3 linked regions of the Notamacropus eugenii genome follow. The protein of the gene in region 2 purifies or fractionates together with the protein of the main gene of each other region. This does not show direct contact. Links are inferred from orthologs where the notes say so. Each region holds a gene or a part of one and is shown on either strand. Other genes may lie near its edges. The genes, in order: TARBP2, protein argonaute-1 and TNRC6C.

What was found.
Region 1: the proteins of protein argonaute-1 (region 2) and TARBP2 purify together in Homo sapiens (co-immunoprecipitation; 4 studies listed by BioGRID and IntAct, with this or other methods). This does not show direct contact. The link is inferred for Notamacropus eugenii from reciprocal best matches to the Homo sapiens genes AGO1 and TARBP2.
Region 3: the proteins of protein argonaute-1 (region 2) and TNRC6C purify together in Homo sapiens (affinity purification with mass spectrometry; 5 studies listed by BioGRID and IntAct, with this or other methods). This does not show direct contact. The link is inferred for Notamacropus eugenii from reciprocal best matches to the Homo sapiens genes AGO1 and TNRC6C.

The regions. Positions count from the first base shown.
Region 1 is NC_092874.1:226,513,818-226,520,811, forward strand, and holds the start of TARBP2 (RISC-loading complex subunit TARBP2), read left to right. Parts: upstream 1-3,914; 5' UTR 3,915-3,974; coding exon 3,975-4,111; intron 4,112-4,775; coding exon 4,776-4,975; intron 4,976-5,482; coding exon 5,483-5,585; intron 5,586-6,994. UniProt on the Homo sapiens protein: Required for formation of the RNA induced silencing complex (RISC). Component of the RISC loading complex (RLC), also known as the micro-RNA (miRNA) loading complex (miRLC), which is composed of DICER1, AGO2 and TARBP2.
Region 2 is NC_092876.1:83,777,356-83,785,200, reverse strand, and holds the start of protein argonaute-1, read left to right. Parts: upstream 1-4,828; 5' UTR 4,829-4,998; coding exon 4,999-5,023; intron 5,024-7,845.
Region 3 is NC_092873.1:319,097,462-319,105,276, reverse strand, and holds the start of TNRC6C (trinucleotide repeat-containing gene 6C protein), read right to left. Parts: upstream 3,048-7,815; 5' UTR 2,914-3,047; coding exon 2,884-2,913; intron 1,562-2,883; exon of another isoform or gene 1,436-1,561; intron 1,107-1,435; exon of another isoform or gene 1-1,106. UniProt on the Homo sapiens protein: Plays a role in RNA-mediated gene silencing by micro-RNAs (miRNAs). Required for miRNA-dependent translational repression of complementary mRNAs by argonaute family proteins.

The sequences.
Region 1 (6,994 bases), on a different chromosome or scaffold from region 2:
GCTTTCTTTCCTGCCGGTCACTCCACTCCAGCTCAGACATGCTGGTTGTCTGGCTGTGTGGCGGTGTGTTAGTTGGGGGGACGCATTGGGTAGTTGTGGGAGGGGAGTAGCTGTGGGAGTGGAAGTCTGCCTCTGGTAACCCCAGTTTCCAGGATGGGCTGAGGGACAACAAACACTGTTCTCATCCCCTAAATGAAAAACAGGCTTGGAAGGAAGTAAGCATTTGCTGTGTGTAACAGTAGCATCCAGCATAGTTAGATACTATGCTTAACACTTTACAAAGATTCTCTCATTTGATCCTCATAATCATGGGAGATAAGTGCTATTATTATCCCTACCATACACAGCTATACGGTGCAGTGGATGGAACAGTGGGCCTGAATTGGACCTCAGACACTCACTAACTGTGTGACTCTTGGCAAGTTACTTCACCTCTATTTGCCTCAGTTTTTTCAACTACAAAATGGGGGGGGGGGAGGTGCAGTAATAGTAGCACCTACCTCCCAGAGCTGTTGTGAAGATCAAATAAGAGAATATTTGTAAAGCTCTGGGTACACAGTAGGTGCTATATATATAAATGCTTATTCCTTCTTATTTTAGAGTTGAAGAAACTTCAGCAGCAGCAGAAGTTAAATGACTTGCCTGCGGTCACACAGCTGATAACTATGTGAGGCTGGAGTTGAACTTAAGTTATCCTGACTCTAGGCCCAGGGCTCTATCCATTGGGCCCCTAGGTAGGGCTCTTTACAGGAAACACTGAAAGCAGTTGGGCAGAGGAAGCTAGATTTGGCCTTTTTTCGTACCTCACTAATCCAGCTGTGTCACCAATCTGGCTAAAACCCCATGTGTTCAGAGGCTGAGAAAGGACAGAGTTTAATTCAAAATAAGGGTTGTCAAACCTGGAATCAGGGCAGGTGGCTCTATCTACAGGGATACTGGTAGGATCTGGGAGAAATCCTTCACTGTGGCATCGAGGTAGAGTCAGGAGGACCCCAGTTTGAATCTTGCCTCAGACATCTGGTAGCTCTGGGGCCCTGAGCAAGTCACTTATCTTCTCTCAGCCTCAGTTTCCTTATCTGTAAAATGGGGGATAATAACAGTATGGAGCTCCCAGGGCTGTTGTGAGGAGCCAATAAGATACATGTACAGCACTTTGTAAAGCTTGAAGTGCTATAGAAATGCCAGCTATTATTCCTAGCCTGACAGAAAACTGGGTTGCTGGAGAGAACTCAGCTGGATCTTTCTTCCCACCTAGAAAGATAGGCTTGCAGGGTCAGGGAGAATCCCAGCGTCCCACCTAGAGATTCGGCTGCTCTCATCCCAAGGAGTTGGTGAATCTCTGCTCCCGGGGTGAGGCACCCCCTCCCTTCTTAGGGCCAGCTCCTTCCCGGCCCCTCATGCCCTACTTCCTCCGTTTGGGAGCCTTCCCCCTCCTCTGTGCTCCTGTCTTCATCGAACCCAAGGCCGAGGCCAGGGGAGGGATGAGGCGGAGAATGGATGTCACATTGGGGGGGGATGCAACAGCTGGATGGAGGAGGGCTATCCCGCGGGGAGCCAGGCGCCAGGGGGCCTAAGGTCTGGGCACCCAGGAGCAGGTGCCTTCGGTGCTGCAGGCTCCGGCTCTGCCCTGCCAGGTGCGCCAGGCCTTGCCCTGCCCTTCCCGTCTCCCTCCATCCTCCTCCATCCACACTCGGCTCCTCTGCCGGTCCTACCCCCCCCCCCCCCCCTCCCCCGGCCTCCCGCCCGAATCGTCTCCCCCGGCTCTGCCCCAGCCTCCTCCTCCGATCTCCACCCTCCCGCCCCCACCGCCCTGGGGCTCCCATCCCCACAAGCTCGCGGAGCCCCCCATCCCGCCGCGCCCCGCCCCTCCGGGCCGCAGGACCCCCCCACTCCGCGGCGCCCCCCCGGGCCCGGCTCTCACCTGGGGGGCTCGGCCGCGGCCTCAGCACAAAAGGCGGCGCTGCTGCGGCTCTGCTCCGGATGCTGCTCTCGGCTCCTCGCCTCCACCCCTCCCTCCTCCTCCTCCTCCCTCCGCCCCCGCCCGCTGCCCCTGACCGGAGCCGGGGCGGTGTCACGGGCGATGCTCCGGCCCGCCGCGTCCAGGGCCGCGGCTCCTTCCCCCGACCCCCACCCCCCCCCGCCGGCCCGGCCCCCGCCCCTGGCCCTCCGGGACGGACACGCCCTGAGCGGGGGAGATGCGCCGGGAGCCGCCGGCTTCTTAAAGGAGCCCGCTGCTCCCTCCCCGGCCCAGCTTCTAGCTCATCCCCCCGCTCCTGGAACCGAGACCCCTCCCCGCCCCCTCCCCCAGCTCCCCCCGCAACTCGGGTATTGGTTCCCGCTCTGCCTCTCCCCAGGGCCGCCCCCCGCGCCCCTCAAGTTGCCTCTCCAGTCCTCGGGGTCTCCCATGTCCGCCGTCCTCCCTCCAAGACTCAACATTAGTCACAGAGCACCCCTTTCTTCCCCCCCTCCCCTCAAACTCGCCCCAGCTCTCTCATGTTCCCCCATCACCTGGGTCCAGCCAGGCCTTTTCCTCTGCCTACATCCCAGCCTGACGGGATCCCGCTCAGGACCCCTCGGGGCACATTTTTTCAACTTCTTTCCCCCCACACAGATGAAAATAAAAACGGTCTTCCTTGCTTCCCCTCTGTCCCTTCTTTTCCTCCAAGACCCCCCTCATCCTAGAGCTCAACAAAGGAAGCTTTTGGATTCAATGGGAGCCGCGGCCTGGGCCTCTGGGCGGACTTCCTCCAGACCTCGTTTGGACCCTCGGGCCCCTTCTTTCGCCGGTCGGCCCGAGAGGCTTAAACCCGTACAAAGATGGTTGGCTGGGGTTGGTTAGGAAGAGGAGGGGTCTCCATAGCTCTTCACCCTCACCACCCCACTCCACTTTCCATCCACAGCTCTAACTCCACTACCATGGACAGTCCCCGAGTGAGTTTCCTTCCATCTTTCTCTAATTGGTCTTTTGGCCCAAACGCTTTCCCCTCCCATCGCAATCCTGTACCCCCCAGCATACTGGTTCCCCGGGATGGGTGAGAGGGAATGGCTAGAGGGCAGGACTTCTCCCTTGCCCTGTTGGCACCTCTCTTTCAGGCTTCTGGGGACAAAGGAAACACGAGGAATTTGGGGGTCCTCTGGGAGGGGATGGGGTTACTTGGTGCACAGGAGTTTACCCAGGCAGGGTCAGGTGAATGATGCACCCGGGGGGGGGGGGGAGCGGGGAAGAAAACAAGGACTGGGGCTCAGAACACCGAAGCAAGAATGGGGTGCGGATTCTGTAAACTGGGGGACGCGATGGATTTCCAGGAGCGCTCACTGCCCCCGCTCCCCTCCCGTCTCCAGCAGGAAGCCCTCACTCCCCGGCACACTGCAGGGTTCTGCCGGCTTCTCCAGGCTCCCCTCAGGGGGCGGGTCCCTCAGCCAATCACAGGTTCTCCTGGGAAAGAGTCCATAGCGCCCAATGTTCCGTGGTGCCCCAACCCCGCTCCCCAAGTCTCTGGTCCTCTCGCTTTTCCCTTCGGCTCCGAGCGGGCCAATCGCAGGCAGCTGGCTCGGAGGGAGTTGGCAGGAGGAGCCAATCGACGTGGCTGTACCCGTGGCGCGTGCTGGGCACCACCCCTTCAAGGGGAACTCGCTCAGCGGCCACGAGACTTCTGGATCTTGTAGTTTTCCAGGCTCCGCCCATCATCCTCCAGCACGCATGCTCACAGCATCATCCTCGCACACCGAGGAGGGCAAAACAGTGAGCGAGTTTGGGGGGGGGAGGACGACTCTTCCCAGAAGCCACTGCGACCTGGGTGGGCTAACTCCCCCGGAGAATTGTGGGGCGGGTAGCCTCGCTTCTCATGGAGGCCAATGGAATGGGGAGGATCGAGGACTACAAGTTCCGGCATGCTCCGCGACGCCCCCCCCCCCCCCCCCCCCCCCCGCCCACCTCTTTCCCCCGGCCCCGGCTCCGGCCCCGGCCCCAGCCCATGCTCGTTGGCGGCGGCGGCGGCGGCGGCTCGGGGCGCGCGGAGCCTGCAGTCACGGTGGCGCCCGCAGGGACGGAGGAGGGAATGAGTGAGGAGGAGCAGGGTTCCGGGATCATCACAGCCTACGGACTCCCCAGGTGAGTTGGCCGACTCACACTGACCCCTGCAGGGCGGAGGCCGCAGTGCGGGAGGGAGGCGGAGCGCGTAGACCCAGCATGCACCGGGTCTTGGAAGGCTGGGGCTGGGGGTTGGGGGTGAGGAGGGGTGGTTAGCCCAGCCACGGGACGGGACGGGACGGGACGGCACTGCGGTGGGGGGGGTTATTCCCAGCAGCCACCACGGCACGGGCTTTTCTGTTCCCACCATGCACCACGGTGGTGGCTGCTAAGGACCCACCATGCACTTGGGTGGAGGCTACCCAGCTTTCAGCGTTTACTTGATTTCCCAGAATGCCCCGAGACAGCGGCCCCCTTTGTTCCCCGCATGCCCCAGGGCTGTAGGCCCTGAGTTTCCCATCATGCACTTGGCCGGAGGAGCCAAGGATGCTAGACTCGGGGGCATTGGCCATGAGCCCTCTGTTCCTCACTCCCTAAGGGCGCCCAGGGGGTGGTCGTCAGCATGCCCCTCCCCGCGCCCTCTGGCTCCCCTCCCCGCCTCTGGACAGCTGGTGGAGCTGCTCCTCGCCTCCGCCCCGATACCCCTGGGCCCCTAGCCATCCCGCACCCCGGGTGCCAGCCGGCAGTGCCCGTCAGTGGGGGGTCCGAGAGGGACCACGATGCAGGCCTGTGTACCTCCCCCTAGTATAGAGCAAATGCTGGCGGCCAGTCCCGGCAAGACCCCAATCAGCCTTCTGCAGGAGTATGGCACCAGAATAGGCAAGACTCCCGTGTACGACCTCCTCAAAGCCGAGGGCCAAGCCCACCAGCCCAATTTCACCTTCCGAGTCACCGTCGGTGACACCAGCTGCACTGGTGAGGGGGCGTCGGGTGCCCTGGCCAGGGGTGCGTGTTCTCAGGACCTCCACCGGGCTTCGCCTGGGGGGAGGGGCCTTTACTTTCCTCCCAGGGGCTGGGGGCGGGGTGTCTGAGCCTCAAGTGCTTCTGAAAGTCAGCTGGAACCAAGAGCATGCTTAGGTATGGGGGAGGCGGGAGGAACTTAGGAGCCTCCTCTTGGTCGGGGTGTCATCTGCAGCCCCAGAGGGGCAGAATGCTGTCAGACACAGGGATCACCTGATTTTACTTAAGTATGCTTCTCCAGAATAATGAGAAAGAGTTCTTTTGGTGGGAGGGCACTGGAAAAGGATAGGTTTCTTAAAAACATCGATGAAGTATTTTTAAAGGACTGAGAGTAGATTGTGAGATACTAGAAGAGATTAACAGACACTGCTAGGGAAGTGTCTGTCTGGAATGGCCTGATTCTAGTCCTGCATGGTGGTGGGTGGTGGGGGTAGCAGGAGATGGGGATGAGGGTTCTTCTGGCTCTTGTGTAACCTGCCACCCCTCTCCCAGGTCAGGGCCCCAGCAAGAAAGCTGCCAAACACAAAGCAGCTGAGGTGGCCCTCAAACACTTGAAGGGAGGAAACATGTTGGAGCCGTTTCTGGAGGATGGAAGGTGAGGTGTGTCCAAGTAATTTTTGAGCCCTTGAGAAAACTGCCCTACCCATCTGAGCACCACTTACTACCTGAGTTAGTAATAGGCAGTTTGATCTCTCCCACCATCTACCAACAGCTGAGTCCACTCCCAGGGCATAAAGAGCTGTTTAGTGGCCCCTCGAAGGATCAGTCCTTACGGACCCTGATTTAGGGTTGAAACTTGAGGTCTTAGTCTAATAGGGGATAACCTCCAAGCAAAACTCCTTTTTCCTATTGTTTACATTAGACTGTGAAGGAGTCTTAGTACAGTGGTCATTCACATTGGCTGAGCCGAGCCCCTATTGAGGGGCCCTTGTTTTAGTCATGTCCAACTCTTTATGACCCCATTGGGGGTTTTCTTGGCAGACATACGGGAGTGGTTTGCCATTTCCTTCTCCAGCTCGTTTTACAGAGGAGGAAATGGAGGCAAACAGGGTTGAGTGACTTGGCCAGGGTCACACAGCTAGCCAGTGTCTGAGACAGGATCTGAGTTCAGGAAGATGAGTCTTCCTGACTCCAGGCCTAGTTCTTTGTCCACCACTGCCCAGAGAAGAGGTCCTTAGGGAGGGTAATTGTTTGAGGAGATTGATTCCCACAGGGACCTCTGCCCTGTCCATATTTCCTCTTCTCCTGCCAGTCTAGACACTTCTAAAAATGCTAAATCCTAAATACCTCCAAAATTCTAAATACGTCTTTTGGCTCTTTGAGTAGAAAAACTTCCCCATTCCGCTGAGAGGCCATTGGCTCTGTCTTCTTTTGGGCTTCCTTCTGATGGGTGAGAAGACAGTACAGGATGGGGAGAAACATGTTCCCCAGTCCTTGGGAAGTTGTCTTCTTAGAATGCCCGCTCTCTGCTGATACCCCTGTTGCTGGGCCTGATTCACACCCCACCTCACCTCAGCAGCAAGCAAGGCTTCAAGGAGTGAAGGGAGTTGGGAGTGGTTCACCTTCTGCCTTGGGCAGGTCTTTTCTGAGCCCCAACAGGCTAAGACTGAAACCAAGCCGCCTGTCTATCCTTGTCACATAGTGAAGTCCAGCAATGCTGGGGGATGCCTGAGGGGAGGAGTGGTGGAGCTGATACCAGCAAGTGGAGTTGGGGGCAGGAAGACTGCCATGTGTCCTCAAAGAGATGGGCTGTTTCTGTGCCCTACTCTTTGGGACTAGAGATAGTTGGCTTGACCTGGGACAGATGGTACCTGTGACTTTCTCTCCTCTCTTTGGTCAGAACATGTTCCATATTCTCAAATCTAAAGTCTAGAGTTCTTCAAAATAGCTATTTCGAGGGGAGCAGACAAGTCTTCTATGGTGTGGGAGTCTTTATTTCTCAGGGTGGGGAAGCCTGTTTTCAGCAGCGGAGACTAAGGCCATATGTTTGGAAGGACTTCCTGC
Region 2 (7,845 bases):
GTTACCCTTTCTTCATTTCTTTCTATTTTTTAATTTTTATTTTCAGTTCCAAATTCTCTCCCTTCCTCCTCTCTCTCTCCCATCCATTGAGAACACAAGAAATACAATATCCCTTATACATTTGAAGTCATCCACATTTCTTTTAGAATAACATCATTTCCTTTAAAAATAAATTATATTGACCTATTGTGTTCAAAATATCTCATAACTAATTTCCCATTTTGATAGGACAACTAAATCTGTAGGTTGGGAGAATACTATATATGAAGTATTCTTTAGCAAAGGGTAGAAATCTGAAGCGTATTTCATCACTGTGTGTGCTGGAGGTACACTGAGGATTTTCACTGGGGAAGTAAAGTCTGAAAGACATTGGAGGTGCTACTACTGAAATGTATGCTTAGAGGTAAGGATGAGGCTATGTAAGAGGTGAGGAAGACAGGGAGAGATTGTGCCTGCTTATCAAATTTGCATGCTAGTGGGTAGATTGGCCCTTTGCCTTTGCAAGACCTTCCAGTCCGCTATTCAGTTCTGTTGTCAGGCGAAGAGGAGAGAGACGGCTTCTGCAGGTCAGGTAGCTGCTGGCAGGCTGCTGTTTGCTGCTGCTGCTGCAACTGATTGCCACTGCAGCCTGAGCTGAGAGTGGCGGGAGAGCTGGGACTGTTCCTGGAGAGCAGCGCTGTCGGGGTTCCTGGGATAGAGATGAGAAGACATCTTGGAAGTGAGATAGACCGACCAGCCCGGAGAGGTGAGCACATAGGAAAAATGGACTGGGATCTGCTATGAAACCTTATTGGCTGGTGGGAAGGCCAGGCGACCAATCCTAATCCAAGCCTCCTCACTCCCCTCTGCTTCCCTGCTTTATCTGTTCCAGTTTAGAACCTGGAGCCAGGGCCTAGACAACAGCATCACACCATACCCTCATTCTTTTTCCACAACCTGTGGCTGAGGGATGAGGAATTAGGAAATAAATGGGCCAAGTGTTCCAATATAGGAGCATTTAATGATTTCCTTTGCAATTTTATAAATATCTACTACATCATATGGCCAGATAAAACTGTTTTCTTGTGTAATATAAATATAAAGGTTAAAAATTGAGCTTTTTCCAGTAATTTATATGCTATGTTTCCTCAATCCCTGGTCTAGATTCAGAACCTAGTTAAAGAAGGTATCCTTCTTGTTCAGCCCCATGAAACACATGGTTTGCTTGGCAGGGTGGGTAGTTGGCATAAACTAAAAGAGATATTAGTATATATTTCTATTCTTCAGTGCCTGGATTAAAGATACCTTGAATGGATCACTGGGCTGGTAGTTTGGTACAGCACCAAGTGGTGGGAAAATTCTGAACTCTTTTATTTTATAGCTAATAGCAAACTGGCACTTTATTTTCCTGAGAGCTCAAGGAAGAAAAGCCCCAGCTGATGTGGGCTGCTATGGCAACAATAGTGTCTCAAGCCTCATCTGGAATACCTATCAAAAGGTCCTATATAATTCAACATTTTTGTCATTGTCTTTGAAGAAAGCTTAGATGGCAGGCTTATCAAACTTACAGACAACAGGAAGCTGTGGGGGCCAGCCAACATAGTGGATGACTGAGTACCAGTCCCAGATCTCTGAATAGGCTAGACCAAGGGTCTGTATAAAACGAGGTGAAACTTAAAAGCACATAAAGCCCACACCACTGTTACAAAAGCATTTGACATAATCTCCCATGCTAGACGTACAGATAAGGTGGAGATAGTTAGGTTGGATGGCATTATGTTTGGGAGTTTTTGAAAGTGGACAAATGATTGACCCCAAAGAATTATAACCAATGGCCTGAAGTTAACTTGAAGGAAGTATGACCAAAAGAAGGTGGCAGGATGGTGAGAAGTCCAGGGAGCATATCATATAATGATAAAAAAATTGGGGAATAGTAAGTAGGAGATAAAAGCTGTCTTCAAGTATCTGCAGGGCTGTTACCTGGAAGAGGCTTATTTAGGTTTAATGTAGGAAGAAACTTAACAGTTAAGAATGAACTTTCTTGGAAGATAAAGAATTTTATCTCTCTTCAAGAGAAATCTAGATGACCACTTGTTGGCCATGTTATAAGTGATTCTTATTCAGATATCTGTTGGATTAGATGGACTCTGAGATCCCTTTTGAGGCTGAGATTCTAATCACTCAGTTTCAAAGGGGCTAAGTCACTTGCTCCCCATGGAAGTGACTGTGCCAGTTAGTAGCAGAACTTTGACTGAGGTCTTTTGACTTCTAATGACCAAATAAACATGGTCTGTTTGGTTGGGGTTTTTTTATGTTGATGTTTAAAAAACACCATTCTATCAAATAAAAAGCAATGTGTATGAAGAATTCAGAGAAGCATGAGAAGACATATGAACAGATGCCAGGAGATGTAAGCAAGGTTAGGAAAGCAACATGCATAATAATTGAAAAATCAATGGAAGGAAAAACAAAAATGAAATGAAAGAGTGAATGTACTTTCCTTCTTTGTAGATGTGGAGGACTCTGTATAGAACTTTGCATATACTCTAAAAGTTGGTGAATATTTTGGTTATTTTGCTGAACTGCTTTTTTCCTCTGGCTTTTTTTTTGCAAGGGACAACTTTCTGGGGAGGTAAGAGGAGAGGGATTGAATATATTTGGAGGCAAAGGTGATGTAAAAAAAAAGATATCAAAAAATGTTTAAGGTTCCGCTAAAGCCTGAGATATGTTCAAACTGGGCTTAGGAAGGAAAGGCCATTTGGGTGGCATGCTTAACTCCAAAGGCTGTGCTCCTTAGGGTGATCATCGTATATACCATGTAACCTGGGATAATTCCCGCTTCCTTTTCTCAAACTACTATTGTTGGTACTAATACCTATATTCTTTCTGGCATTTTTGCATCAGCATCTTTTCATCTATAATATTTTATTCATTCTGTTAGTTTTTCTTTTATTATTTCTTTGATTTTACCTTTTCTGAAAAATAATTTTCTTTGAGTAGAGCCTTGAGTTAGCCATGACCAACGTTTTTTTTTTTTTTTAATGCTGAGGCAAACATCATAAAACATGCCCTGACGTCAGCCTTTTGGACAAACACAAGTGGTGGCTGGGTGTCAAAAACCCTAGGACAAAATCCTGGGATATGGCAAGGAAGCTCTATCACAGGTTGAGCTTGCCATCTGGTAGCTTTACATTTTAATTAATTCTTGTTAACTAGGTGCTAAGCTAAGTATTTTCTAGCTGCTAAAGTAATGTAAGTACTGTTAGCAACTGGGACTATGTCCCAGCCACCCCACCCTAGTTATAGCTCTGCTCTTCTGCTAATCCTGCCTCTTTTTACTGGCATTTCCACTGTAGTGTCTGAGGGGATATTTATCTGAGGGGAGTAACACTTTCTCTTGTATGACCTGTCTCTTTGCATCTTCAGGGAAGTCCTAATTAATTGCCTTTCTCATTTTGCTTCTTTGGGTCTTCAGAAGTCTAGTTCTTCTGCAAAGAACCTCAGTATCTGGTCTAACCCTCTTTACTTTTACAGACAGGGAAAGTACTGAGAGAGGTAATTTGCCTAAAGTACAGCTAAGGAGTATGGTTCTGACCATTTCATTTCCCTGCTCAAGAAACTTCAATGGTTTACTATTTTGTATAAGATAAAATAGGTGCACGTATTTGCTATTTAAAGCTATCAGGCTACAGCCTACCTTTCTAGACTGCTTTCATATTACTCTTCAGTCATTCTACATTCCAGCCAGAGTGGCCCACTGGATGGCCCTCATAAAGGAGGGACACTTCCACTTCCCTTGCCCTTGCCTTTGCAGAGGATATCTCTCCCGCCCCCTCTCCTCATGCCTGGAATGTTCTCCTTTCCCTCTGCCTCTTGGAATTCCTAGGCTCAGCTCAAGTACCACCTGCTATCCGAGATCTTGTCTAATTTCCCCAGTTGTTAGTTTCATTAAGTTACTTAGTATTCATTTTTATATATTTTGTATTTACTCGGGTGTATATCTGTTTCACACTCAGTAACAGTAAACTTCTTGAGGGCAAGAACTATTTCTTTTTGCCTTTGTGTCCCTAGACTTATGAATATAGTAGGTGCTCAATAAAGACATTAAATCAAATTTATTTAGTAGAACTCAGCTCTCCTTCCTCCATAGTTCTGCGCTCATTTCCCTCCCTGGCGTTGTTTGGTATAGTGATAATGATAATTAATCATAATAATACATTTCTCTTGTGCTTTCAGGTTAAAAAGTGCTTTTCTCACTACAAAACCACCCCCAGGGAATAAGAAGTGTCATCCATATTATCTCTATTTTGCAGATCAAGGAATTGAGGCTCAGAGACTAATTGACTTGCGTCTTTTAATAAAGCTCCCCTTAAGATCAGGTCGGGAGCAACTCAGTGTGCTTCTGGTATTCCCTGGGTGGGTGGGAGTGCTGGAGGTACCGTTGCCCCAGGCTGCCTTCGTCAGACAAAAGATTCTGGGCTACAGAGCCGGGGAGAATGCTGGCCCCGGGCCAGTGTTACGCTCTCGGCTTCCAGACTCCCCCTCCCCCATGCTAGTCTAGCAGGGCCCCTCCCTCGTTGGGAGAGCCCTGGGGTGCAGATGCAATCCCACCTGCTCAGCTGCGGAGCCTGAAGCTCAGAGCCGAGCCTCGAGCCGCGAGTCTGGCAGTGGGCTCGGCGTGCAGCGCCGCCGACTGGGCGGTAGGGGGCGGGCCACTCGGAGAGCCTTCTCTCCCTCCCTGCTCCGCTGGCCTTTGTTGCTGTTGGAGAGACGGGCTTGACTTGTTCCCGTCCACCCTCTCGGCCCTGGGGCGGGCGCGCCTGCGCACTTAGGGCTGGCCGGCTGCTTGCAGGGAGAGCTTGCAGCAGCGGCGGCGGCGGGCGGGAGCAGCCGGGGTGGGGGGGGGGGAGCGGAGCCCGGCCCGGGAGCGGGAACCACGGGAGCGACGGAGGCCCGGGCCCCCCCACGCCGTGCACCAGACTCTCTCCCAGCCGCCTGACCTACACACGGGTATATGGGATGGAAGCGGGACCCTCGGGAGCAGGTAATGGCCTGTTTGAGGGGAGGCCTGGGTGCCACAGGGGGGCGGGGGCTCTGTGTGTGGGTGCGTAGGGGTCTGTGTCACTAGAGAAGGGGAGGGGGACTTGTGAGCATGGATGTGTGCATGTCTGGGAGGACAGGGGAGAAAGGCCTGTGCACCTGCGTGGGGGGCTGTGTGCATGGAGAGGGGGGGCAGTACGTCTGCAAAGTGAGGAGGGGGTCTTGTATGCTTGGAGGTGGCGGGGGAAGCTTCAGTGCACCTGCGGGGAAGGGAGAGGCTTGGATCTATGGGGAAAGGGCTTCTTGAGATTCTGAGACTTGTGTTTGTGGAGGGGGGGAGGATCGAGGCCCGGGTTCCGGAGATGAGGGTATCTCCTGGCTGCAGGGGAAACCCTGTGTACACAGCATGGGAAGGGCTCTGAGTATGGGTTTTGGTGGTACCTGAGGATTGTTGAGGTTCCCAAGCCTGGGCAAATGGGGGACACTGAGGTAGGATGGGGGTCAAAATTCGAGCTCAGGAGAATGCGTTCGTAGTGCTGGGGCGGGGAAACCAGAGAACTGGGGGCTCAGTCTGAGCAGAGGGATGAACCTTCGGGGAGGGGGATGCTCCTGGTGTTTGGGCTGCGGTGGGGGAAGGGAAGTGAGGCCGCGATAGAGGCTGGGGGTTTGGATGGAGAGGGGGATAGGGGATCAGACTCTGGATCCTGTGAGAGAAGGCGGCTTTGGTGTTCCACAGTTGAAAAAAGTAGAATTGGGGGAAGGGGCCTGAGGTCTGGGGGCGGTGGAGAGAAGTGGTGAGGGGTTGGGGGGGGGGGGGGGGGCCCAAGCCCCGAGCATGCGCAGAGCTGGGTTGCGTTGAGTCGGTTTGGGGTCCGGGTGGGGTGGGGGCGGGGGCGGCAGGGGGAGGAGACCCTGTCTCCGAGATTCCATAGGCTATGGGATTTGGGGGAGTTTCCCCCTTGCTGGATCCTAGGGACGCCTTACGTTTGGGGTGGCCAGCATAGCTCCTTTCTCTGATGCATAGGAGGAATTGGAGGGGCAGAAATATGAGCATTTCAAGGCCTAGAAAGTGATGTTGATTTCAGTTCGTGGAGACAGATGTGAAGGTTCATCGGCCTGGAAACTGACATTGATTGGGTTGGGGCGAGGACTAATAGATTCGGACACTGGTTTGGGGAGGGGCTCCTGAGATAGAAGGAGCCTAGCGCCGGAATATTGATGGGGAGGCGGAGCGAGGTTGGAAATCTGGGAGAAAGAGCCTGTCTGGTCCCCGGGTTTGCCTCCAACATCGGGTCTGATTTTTTCCTGCTGGGTTTGGTTTGTTGGAAGGTTTGGAGAATGCCCAGGTCCGCCCCCCTTCCCTCCCATTGAGGAGGTGTGTGAGGTTTTGGGTTCTTCTCCCCCTTTCGGTATGTGGGGGGAGAATCAGGAATTTAAATCCACGCACAAAGCCTGGTTCGTTTGGAACGTCTTTGGGTGTCAAGATTTCAGAACATTTAAAAAAAAAAATCCCTTTCCCAGCCCTGCTTTCAGTAAGGGTCTGTGGAGTGAGCCAGCCGGCGTTCTCCCCTCCCCCACCCAGAGCAGCTGTCAGGGCCCTGGACACAAAACAATCCAGGCCCCTGCTGCCTGCTGCCTTCTACTATACACACTTTGGGGGACTGGGGGAGGATGGGGAGTGTTGCTACTAAGTTAACCCCATTGTAAGTCAGCTTTTGTTGGGGTGGTAGAGATCAGCTTCACCGGCCTTTCATGATTAAGAAGAAATGGAGGAAACAAGAAATGGAGGGAAACTGAGGCAAGTCAATCCAGAAGTTGAAAATGCTGGAGTCTAGATACTCAGTGAGGTTTGGAGGCTATCCTGTTTCTTTCTGTTCCCCAAACTAGAAGGCCATCAGGGAACGATGCTATAGGCCCTCTCCCACCCACCCATCGGGTGGGAGAGACATTAAGGACTGACATTTCTTCTTCAGGTGGTGGACCATGAATTGGTGGACCAGGTGCAGGCAGGACAAGAATTAAGAGAGTGTCAGTGATTTGAGCGCCTCCCCCTCCTTCTCTCCTAATTCCAAGTCCAGCAATCTTTCCTGTACACTTTGGTGCCTTTACAGTGAACTTTTCTGTAGTGCTTTAAGGTTCACAAAGTTCCTTACATATAATATTTCCTTTGGTCCTCACAGCCACCCTACTTGTTGAGGTAGGTGCTACTATTATTTCCGTTTTATGGGTAAGGAAATTGAGGCAGAGAGAGATTGTGATCACACATAGGACTAGTAAATAGGGACCATGTCTCTGTCTCCTCAAAGTATTTTCTCAGCAACAGTCTTATGGATCAGGACAAATCATTTCTTACCACAACCCACGTAAGGAGGCTAAAAATGATGACGCCTGCCACCCTGGCTGCTTAGGTGCCTGTTTCCAAGGGAGTTTTAAGTAGGTACCTGGCAGGCTGGACTGCAGGCTGTTGTTGGAGAACTGATGGTGATTTTTCCCCTTCTATCCTCATGTTCCCCATATAATAATAGGTGACATTTATGTAGCACTGTTAGGCTTGTCATAATAATAATAGTAGTTGACATTTATGTTAATGCTTTAAAATAGGCTACACAAATATTCTCATCTGAGATTCATGAGAACCTGTGAGCTCCATGTTAAAGTATCATTACCCTATTTTGCAGATGAGAAAGCTGAGGTTCATAGAGGTAGAAGTGACTTGCCCATGATCCCAGGGCTATTAAGTACCCGAGGCAGAATTTGGACTTGCATCTCTCCTAACTCCAGTATTGCTACCGTGTTGCCCGTATTATCGAGTTCTAAGCAATTTTG
Region 3 (7,815 bases), on a different chromosome or scaffold from region 2:
AATCACTGACCAATCAACCTGAGCCAGAGGAAAACAGGAAACTTAACAAGAGTCCACATTTTTGGTGCATTCACATTGCTCTTGATGATCCAAAATTAAACATTTGAAATAACTTTAAGGAAGGTCCTACTTTTCTGAAGTTTAAAAATCATCTGCATGATAATAACCAGAAATAGCCATCTCTTCCGTTTGAAGTACACCTATACTGAAGGAAAAGCCAAACTATGGCAATACAATATATGCCACTCAGAAGCTACTAAACACCTGATGTAGCACTCCTTGAAGGCACTTCACTTACCAAGACATTTGTACACCATTTTGAGTTCCGAACTTGTAATTCACATCTGGAAATAGTAGATCATTCAAATGGAGGTTTAGTTGGGATTTTGTCAAAGATTTGAAACAATTCAACTAATTACATACAGAATCACAGTCAAAGAACAATATGATAGGTGCTACCCACCAAAAAGAAAACTCCATTTACTCCAATCGTTCACTGGATAAACAACCTTTATTTCCAAACTTCACTTTAACACACAAGTGGTATCTTAAAACAGGAAATCCTACACTTACATATGCGTGCTTAATAGCTCTGGATCAATTACTTAAAATCCTATTTACAAATCACAAGCGGAAACAAATGTTCCTTAAACAAGTGAAATTGAGGTACTCCGAGTAACGTTATCTTTTAACAGTACAGATGTTGCACGGCTCATCTTTTCTCATATACATCACTTGCTGCCCACAATGCCGTTAGGAAATTCACCTGAAGAGATGGATATGCAATAAGATCACCATCATCAGAAAATAAAATCCGAGTTTTAAATTTCTCGATGCATATGCAAACGAGATGTAAAAGCCAGTTTCCCTTAATTTTATATTCGACGCGAGTCTATAATGTGAAGGCTTCTTTTAAATGGGAACAGATTTTCCTCAAATCCATACTGCCAAACCAAAAAAGGGGGGAAAAAGGGCGTCTTTTATTTGTAAATGATAGATTCAAATCATACAACTGCCCATAAACGCAGTTCAATACATAGAAATTTAAAAACGCATTTCCAAATAACAATAATGAAAATGCCTTTTTCTATCCCCAGCACTGCTTTTTAAATAAACACGAGTGAATAATAAAAAAATCCACCCAGGGATCATTTGTTTCTGGCCAAACGGCAAAGGAAAAACCGTGATGCCAGCACAACAGACCTCAGCTTTCCCCCCCCTTTTCCCCAAGCGTCTGATGGAATTGCGGAATTACATCCTTGTGGTAAAGCAACCTTCGCGAGCAGCTTACCCAGCACCTCCCACCCAGACACCTCAACTTGGCCGAACAAAGACATTCTCGGCATCTGGGAGCAAGTTGGGGCTCCCGAGGTCGGACCTTGCGGTGCGCAGGGCTCCCAGCCTGGGGAGCATCCCCGGGTCCAGCCGCACTCACCTCGGCTCCTGGCCCAGCGGCGGCTGCAGCTCGCGGCTCCGGCAACGCAGGAGGCTTAAACCTGTCAGGAGCCGCCCGGGGGCTTCGCTGGATCTCCGGCGGCAGAAAGAACCCTTGCCCTCTCCGCTCCTCGGAGTCAAGCACCGGGGCCAGGGGCAGAGGTTCCCGCCTGCGCGGAGTCCGGCCCGGGCGGCGGGTGGGAGGTGGCGGCGGCGGCGGCAGGGAGAGCAAGGAGGCGGCAGCGGCGGGTCCGGGCAGGTCCAGGTCCTCGAGCAGCCTCGACTAGCCCTCCTCCTCAAACGGGGGAGCCCGAGCCGCAGAACGGCAGCGGCGGCGGCGGCGAAGCAGCTCCGCAGCGGACCCGGGCAAGCGCAGGGCCGACTCCGCTCCCACCCACGGCTCGGGCGGGCCTCCCAGGGGGCGTCCAGCACAGCGCTGCAGGAGAGGAGACAGCTCCGGCAGCGGACAGGAGATGGAATCAATGAGAGGTGTTCACTGCTGCTGGGCGGCGGCGGCTGCTGCTGCTGCTCCCGGGGCCCTCGCGCTGAGGTGCGGAGCTGCCACCGCGGCCATTTTGTTGCTCTAACTGACAAGAACACCACCTCCTCCTCCTCCCTCCCTCCCTCCCTTCAGACAACTGCCCCCCCCTCCTCCTTTCCCCCTCTCCCGCCAGACGGGGCGCTCGCGCCCCCTTCCCCGCCCCTCTGCGGCTTCAAACAGGAAGTAGTCCCGGTCCCTGGCACGTGACACCCACCGTATCTGCATACTAGAAGTTCTGGCCAATCCCGGGTCTCGCTCCTGCTCCGCCCACAGAGCGCGTCCCCTCCACCCTCGACCACTGGTTCCTCGGCGTTACGCCACGCCTTCTCCTGCCTTCCCCTCCCTAAACCGTAGCACCGGCCTGGTCTTGGCGAGCCCAGAGGAGTCTTATCCATCTTACTCCCCATCTCCCCTCTCCTCCCCGCCTCCGGGGTACGAGGGAGCATCCACGCAGTTTCTTCCTCTCTTTCCTCCATTACCAGCTCTCCCCCCACTCCCCCGCCCCGTCCTGGTGATGTGACTCCGTGTTATCTCATTGGACAGGAAGGGAGAGGAGGCCCTGTCTCAACATCAGCTCCATTTAAAATCGATCCGAACGGTCCCCGAAGCAAAAGCTTGGAGGAGAGAAGGGCCCTGAGGTGGAGCGCAGGATATTTATGCGACGGTACAGCAGCTCCAGTAAAGCACACATCCCCGGGGCCCCAAGCACGTTCCCTCCCCCCGCCCCAGCCGACCACACACGCGAACCCCTCCCCCATCACCCATGCACACGCATGAACACGCATGCATGCCCACAGACCCCAAAGGAAGCCTCCCCCTGCCCCCTTGGCTGAGTTACCCCACCAGGTACATTCCCCCCCATGCACTTGCCACCCAGTCCCGACTCCCTGCCCGCGGCTCAAACCAACCTCAACGCCAAGCAGCCCCCGAGCAGACATCCATGTTTTGGCCGCGACACAAGCACGCTTCCCTTCTGCCCACCCCGGGGTCTGCGTACGCGCCCGCACTCGGGCTAGGCGCGGCTGCTGCCTCCTTCGCGGAGGTGTCCTAAGCCTAAAAGCCGCCTCCTCCCCTCCCCCGCTGTTCGCAGAGGGTCGATTGAACGCAGGAGGCACTCAAATGTTTGCTGAATGGAAACACCGCATTTTTATTTTAAATTCCAGCTAGAGCACGGAAGAATTTCACGAAACCAACAATTTTCTCCATTTTTTTCGCACAGCATTTGGGGCAAACGCCTTTCCGCATCCCCGGGCTCAGAGGCACTACTTTAAAGCTTAGGTAACTCCCCAGGCTTCGGGGAGGGACTACAGTACTGTCCATCTTTGAGGACTTCCTAGCGGATGAAGGAGATAACGCTAATCGAGGGGCAGGATGGTTCGTGCCTCCTTTAGTCCCACTTCTCCCGGGAGCTTCGGGCGCTCCTGCCTTCTTGGGGCCATTTTTTACCTTTCCCATCCATACTCAGACTCTCCCAGAGCTTTCGAAGGTGCTGTCCGGTTTCTGGTTCTGCTGGGTGGCCTTTCTTAAAACCTTCACCAGTCAGTAAGAATTGAACCCCGACAGCGTCTCTTGATTCCTCCACTCACCATTTTATCCACCTTCTTTTCACTCTTGTCCTCGAAGAGCTCACATCCTTCCTGTTTCTGTAAAGTTGGCATACAATTACAAGATACTCCCCAAAAGGAGGGTATAGGATTGAAGAACACCTACTGAGCCAGAAGGACTGTATCTGCACTGGACCCAGACATGCGGTTTGAAAGGGGTTCGGTTCTGGGAGAATCCAGTCTCTAATGAGTAGGATCTGGTTCTCTTTTCTCACACTTCAGCTTATTAGAGCTAAAGCCCAGTGAGGGAGAAAGGCCACAGGGAGGAAAATTTACTTGTAGCTTAGGTTTAGGCTCACACGGTGGATTTTCCCAAATTTGGGGAGTAGAAAGGTACCCTATGCATAATATGAATCTTGTATGAGGGTGGGTATTTATTTCTTATACACACACACACACACACACACACACACACACACACACACACACACCAAAACACAAAAGACTCTCATAAGGGCACATTAACAGTAAGAATTAAACCAAACTATCTGTAGGGCTAACCATAAAACCATTTGTGGAATTGATTATTAGGCATTTTACAGTTCACTTCGACAAGTCTGATAAAATGGACCAAGTTGGAGCCTCTTATTGCTTTTCAATCTCAGTAAAACTCTGGAGTAGTTTCCTGGGATTCCTTGTTCCCATCATTTAGTTCTTTCCAGGATCTTTGAACCTTTGAATTCACGAGGTCATCTTACCTGCATATAATCGTCTTGGGAAACATACTTATTCACCTGAAATAAGGAAAGGAAACAAAATTGGAAAATAAAGCCAAGGTCCCAAACACAAGCTCAGATAAGTCTCCCTGCACTAGTTGTCATGTGAATGGGGTCACCATGATGTTGGGGTGAAGCCCTTCCTTATCCCATAATGGAAATCTCAGTTACATGATGCCATCTGCAAGATGGAAGGGAGAGAAAACCAGATAAAAACTCTCTCCCTTTTACTGAAATAGTACCCCACCCCACCACTTCTATCAGTAGGTAGAAAAGGACCATGGAATTATGCAGGGGTTTCTGCATCTTTATCAAAGCAACAAGTCCTTTCTGCAATTATTAGAGGAGTGGGGAACCTGAGGTCTCAAGGCCGTATGTGACCCTCTAGGTCATCAAGTGCAGTCCTTAGACTGTATCCAAACTTCACAGTACAAATCCTCTTAATAAAAGAATTTGTTCTGTAAAACTTAGACTTAGTCAAAAGGCCTCACCAGAAGACCTAGAGGGCCACATGTGACCTCGAGGCCGCAGGTTCCCCACTCATGGTCCACATGGCTGCTAGCAGTCAGGGACTTTGCCATATCAAATATCTGCTCAGATGTTGAGTTTCTTTGTCCCTGAAATTCCTGTAAGTTTCTAGGAGAGCTTTGGGTTCAGGTTGTCTGTAATGGCACCAATTCAACCTCTACTACATGGGCAATGTAACAACTTCATATCTCAACCATATAAAATATTAACTAACTTATGAAATTCTTGAAGATTCCTATGTTTGACTTGTGTTAATATTGTAAATAAGTAGAATTTAAATTGACCAAAAAAAGAATGAAAAACATAAGACCAGACTTCTACTTTGTCCTGATTAGATGCCTTTTCTATGTGGCTTCAATTTTTCAATGTCTCATTCCCCCCTTCCTTAAAATAGAGGTAGTAATCCCTTCCTCTTTTTATTAACATGTAAATTGTTTAGCTTTTCATTAGACAGTAATTTCTGGAAGACAAATATGATATCTTTTCTTTTTGGTATGACTTTCATGAAGCCTAGTAAGTGTTCTGCACATACTGCAATTCCTAAGGGAATCAATTATCAGGGAAATTCCTAAGCAAAATTGTCCAGTAGGTAGGTATGTGTTTACTACTGTCCTACCTCTTTATCAGCAGTTCTTTCCTCTAGTCCATACCTTCAACTTCTGACTTAAAAGTCCTAATGGCAAAAGTATTAGCTGATAAAATAAGCTGGAAAAATCTTTTAAAATAAAATGACAGGCCCAAATCCTGTCTTTCATCTTAAAAACAACCAATTGCCCAAGTGTAGTCTGAGGAAGTACAGTTTGACAGCAGTTTATGCAAAGAAGACCTAGAGATTTTAGTGGACCAAAGCTCAATGTGTACAAAAGTGTTACAGAGCTGTTAAAGAGCTAATGTAATCTCAGATTACATTAAGAGATGCCTAATGTTCAGATCAAGAGAAGTAATATTCCCACTGTATATAAATGAACTGGGTGAAAGGTTTATAGATCATGTCATATCAGAAACACTGAGAAAACTGGGAATGTTTAGTGTACGGAAGTAACGATAAATGTGACATAATATCTTTCTTCACATGTATGAAGGCCTGTTACATGGAAAGGGGAAATAGACTTTCTGTATTACTGCAAACCATGGTACAAGAAGGAATAAGTATGAATTGCAGGAAGTCAGATTTTGCATTAATATAAGCAAATACTGCATTGTAATTAGAGCTGTCCAACAATGGCATGAACCATCTAGTAAGTGAGCTGAGCTCTTGTGGCTCAAGTCAAAGGTGTAGAAGGAATTCTTGCATGGTAGGAAGAATGTCTGTATTTTGTTCTAGCATCACTAGGTCCTTTTTGATTCTGATATTTTATTATTCTGTAAGAGTTTTTTATTTTTTAAAGTTTTTAAATATTTAAAGTTTTTAGTTTTATTATTCTTTTAAGAGTTAAAAGGAGTATGATGGGAGACAACACATGTACAGACTCTCTCAGCTTGTTCAGCTGTTGCAACTTATCCACATAGAAGATGCTAGGGAGTTTACTTCTGGGGAAGTCTTGACAACATATAAGGACAGTGCCATGAAGAGACTGTGGAGCGTACATGAACATTCTGTAACTGGTTCTGGTTGGGTAATTGTGTTGTTGGAAGGAGCTTTTTTCAGTTGGTTGCATATCTAGAACTGTTAGTATTCTCAAAAAGGCCTGAATCGGTTTCCACTATCCCTTTCTTTCATTTGTGTCTGAGGAAGCTAAGTGCCTGTTTCTTTCAGAGCATTCAGTAAAAGACCATGTAGTAAAGGGCTCTGAGGCCATATGTCACATACCCTTTCCCTCCAACCCCAAAATGGGCCTCTGTTTTTGTTCTTAACATTCTTGTTTTAGTCATTCCCGGTTCTCTCATTCTTCTTACCCATTCTAAGTGAAGGGAATGGAGTTCTTGTTCAGGAGAGTGATCTACAGGAATCCAGGCTGAGTTTTGCACTTATTGAAGTATTGATGGCCTTATGAGCAAGGAATGATGTTTTGAAGTGATCTTTGGTATTACAGTACATTGGAAGAACTCATCCAGAAGGATATGGAGTTGGTGGGACCAATACCATGTAGGAACTGAGCTAAGTTTTAGACTTATTCCTAGAATCAGTAGGTGATACAGTGGATAGAGCACTCCATTTTGAGTTAGGAATACCTGAGTTCAAAAATCCAGCCATCAAACACTTACTAGATATATGACCCTGGGCCTGTGAAAAGACTTGGAGTGAAGAGGTGGAGTGTCAAATACATGTACTAACAAGTAAGCTACTTTGGCTAGAATGATTATTGAGAAATCAATGTAGAAGAATAGGTTGGAGTTAAAAAACTGTGAAGCGTTTTAAATGTCAGGTAGAAGAGTTTGTATTTTATCCTAGAAGCAATAGGGAGTCACTGGAGTGCTTGAGAGGGATAGGAACAGGGTCAGACATGTGCTTTAGGAATATCAATTTGGCAGATGTGTGGAACTTGGGTTAGAAAGGGGAGTAATTGGAAGTAGGGAGGCTAATTAGGGGTTCAATGGAAGACTGAGAAATCTGGAACCTTAGGAGTAAGGTTAAGGCTAAGATTAATAGACAATAGCTAATATTTTTATGAATCTAGAACATTATGCTATTTCTCTAGAATCGACCCTAATATGAGTCATACAGACATAACTCTCAACCATACCATCTAAGCTACCTTCCATTCAGACCCTTCTGAAAATACTTTAATTTTCTGGGGTATAGATTACATAAGAAGCATGCTTTTGTGAGAAACTGTGGAATTAAGCTCATTCTTAGCAGTAGAGAGTAAGGAATCATTAAAAAATTTTCAGCAGTGGAATGACAAAGTCAAAATATGCTTTGAGAAGATGATCCTGGTAGAAGGATATAGAGATTGGAAACAGGGAAACCAAGTAAGAGGCAATATGTACTGAATATTGTGATGGCCCTCTAAAAGAGACGATGCTTTCTTCTCTGCTCTGGCTGAGGAGA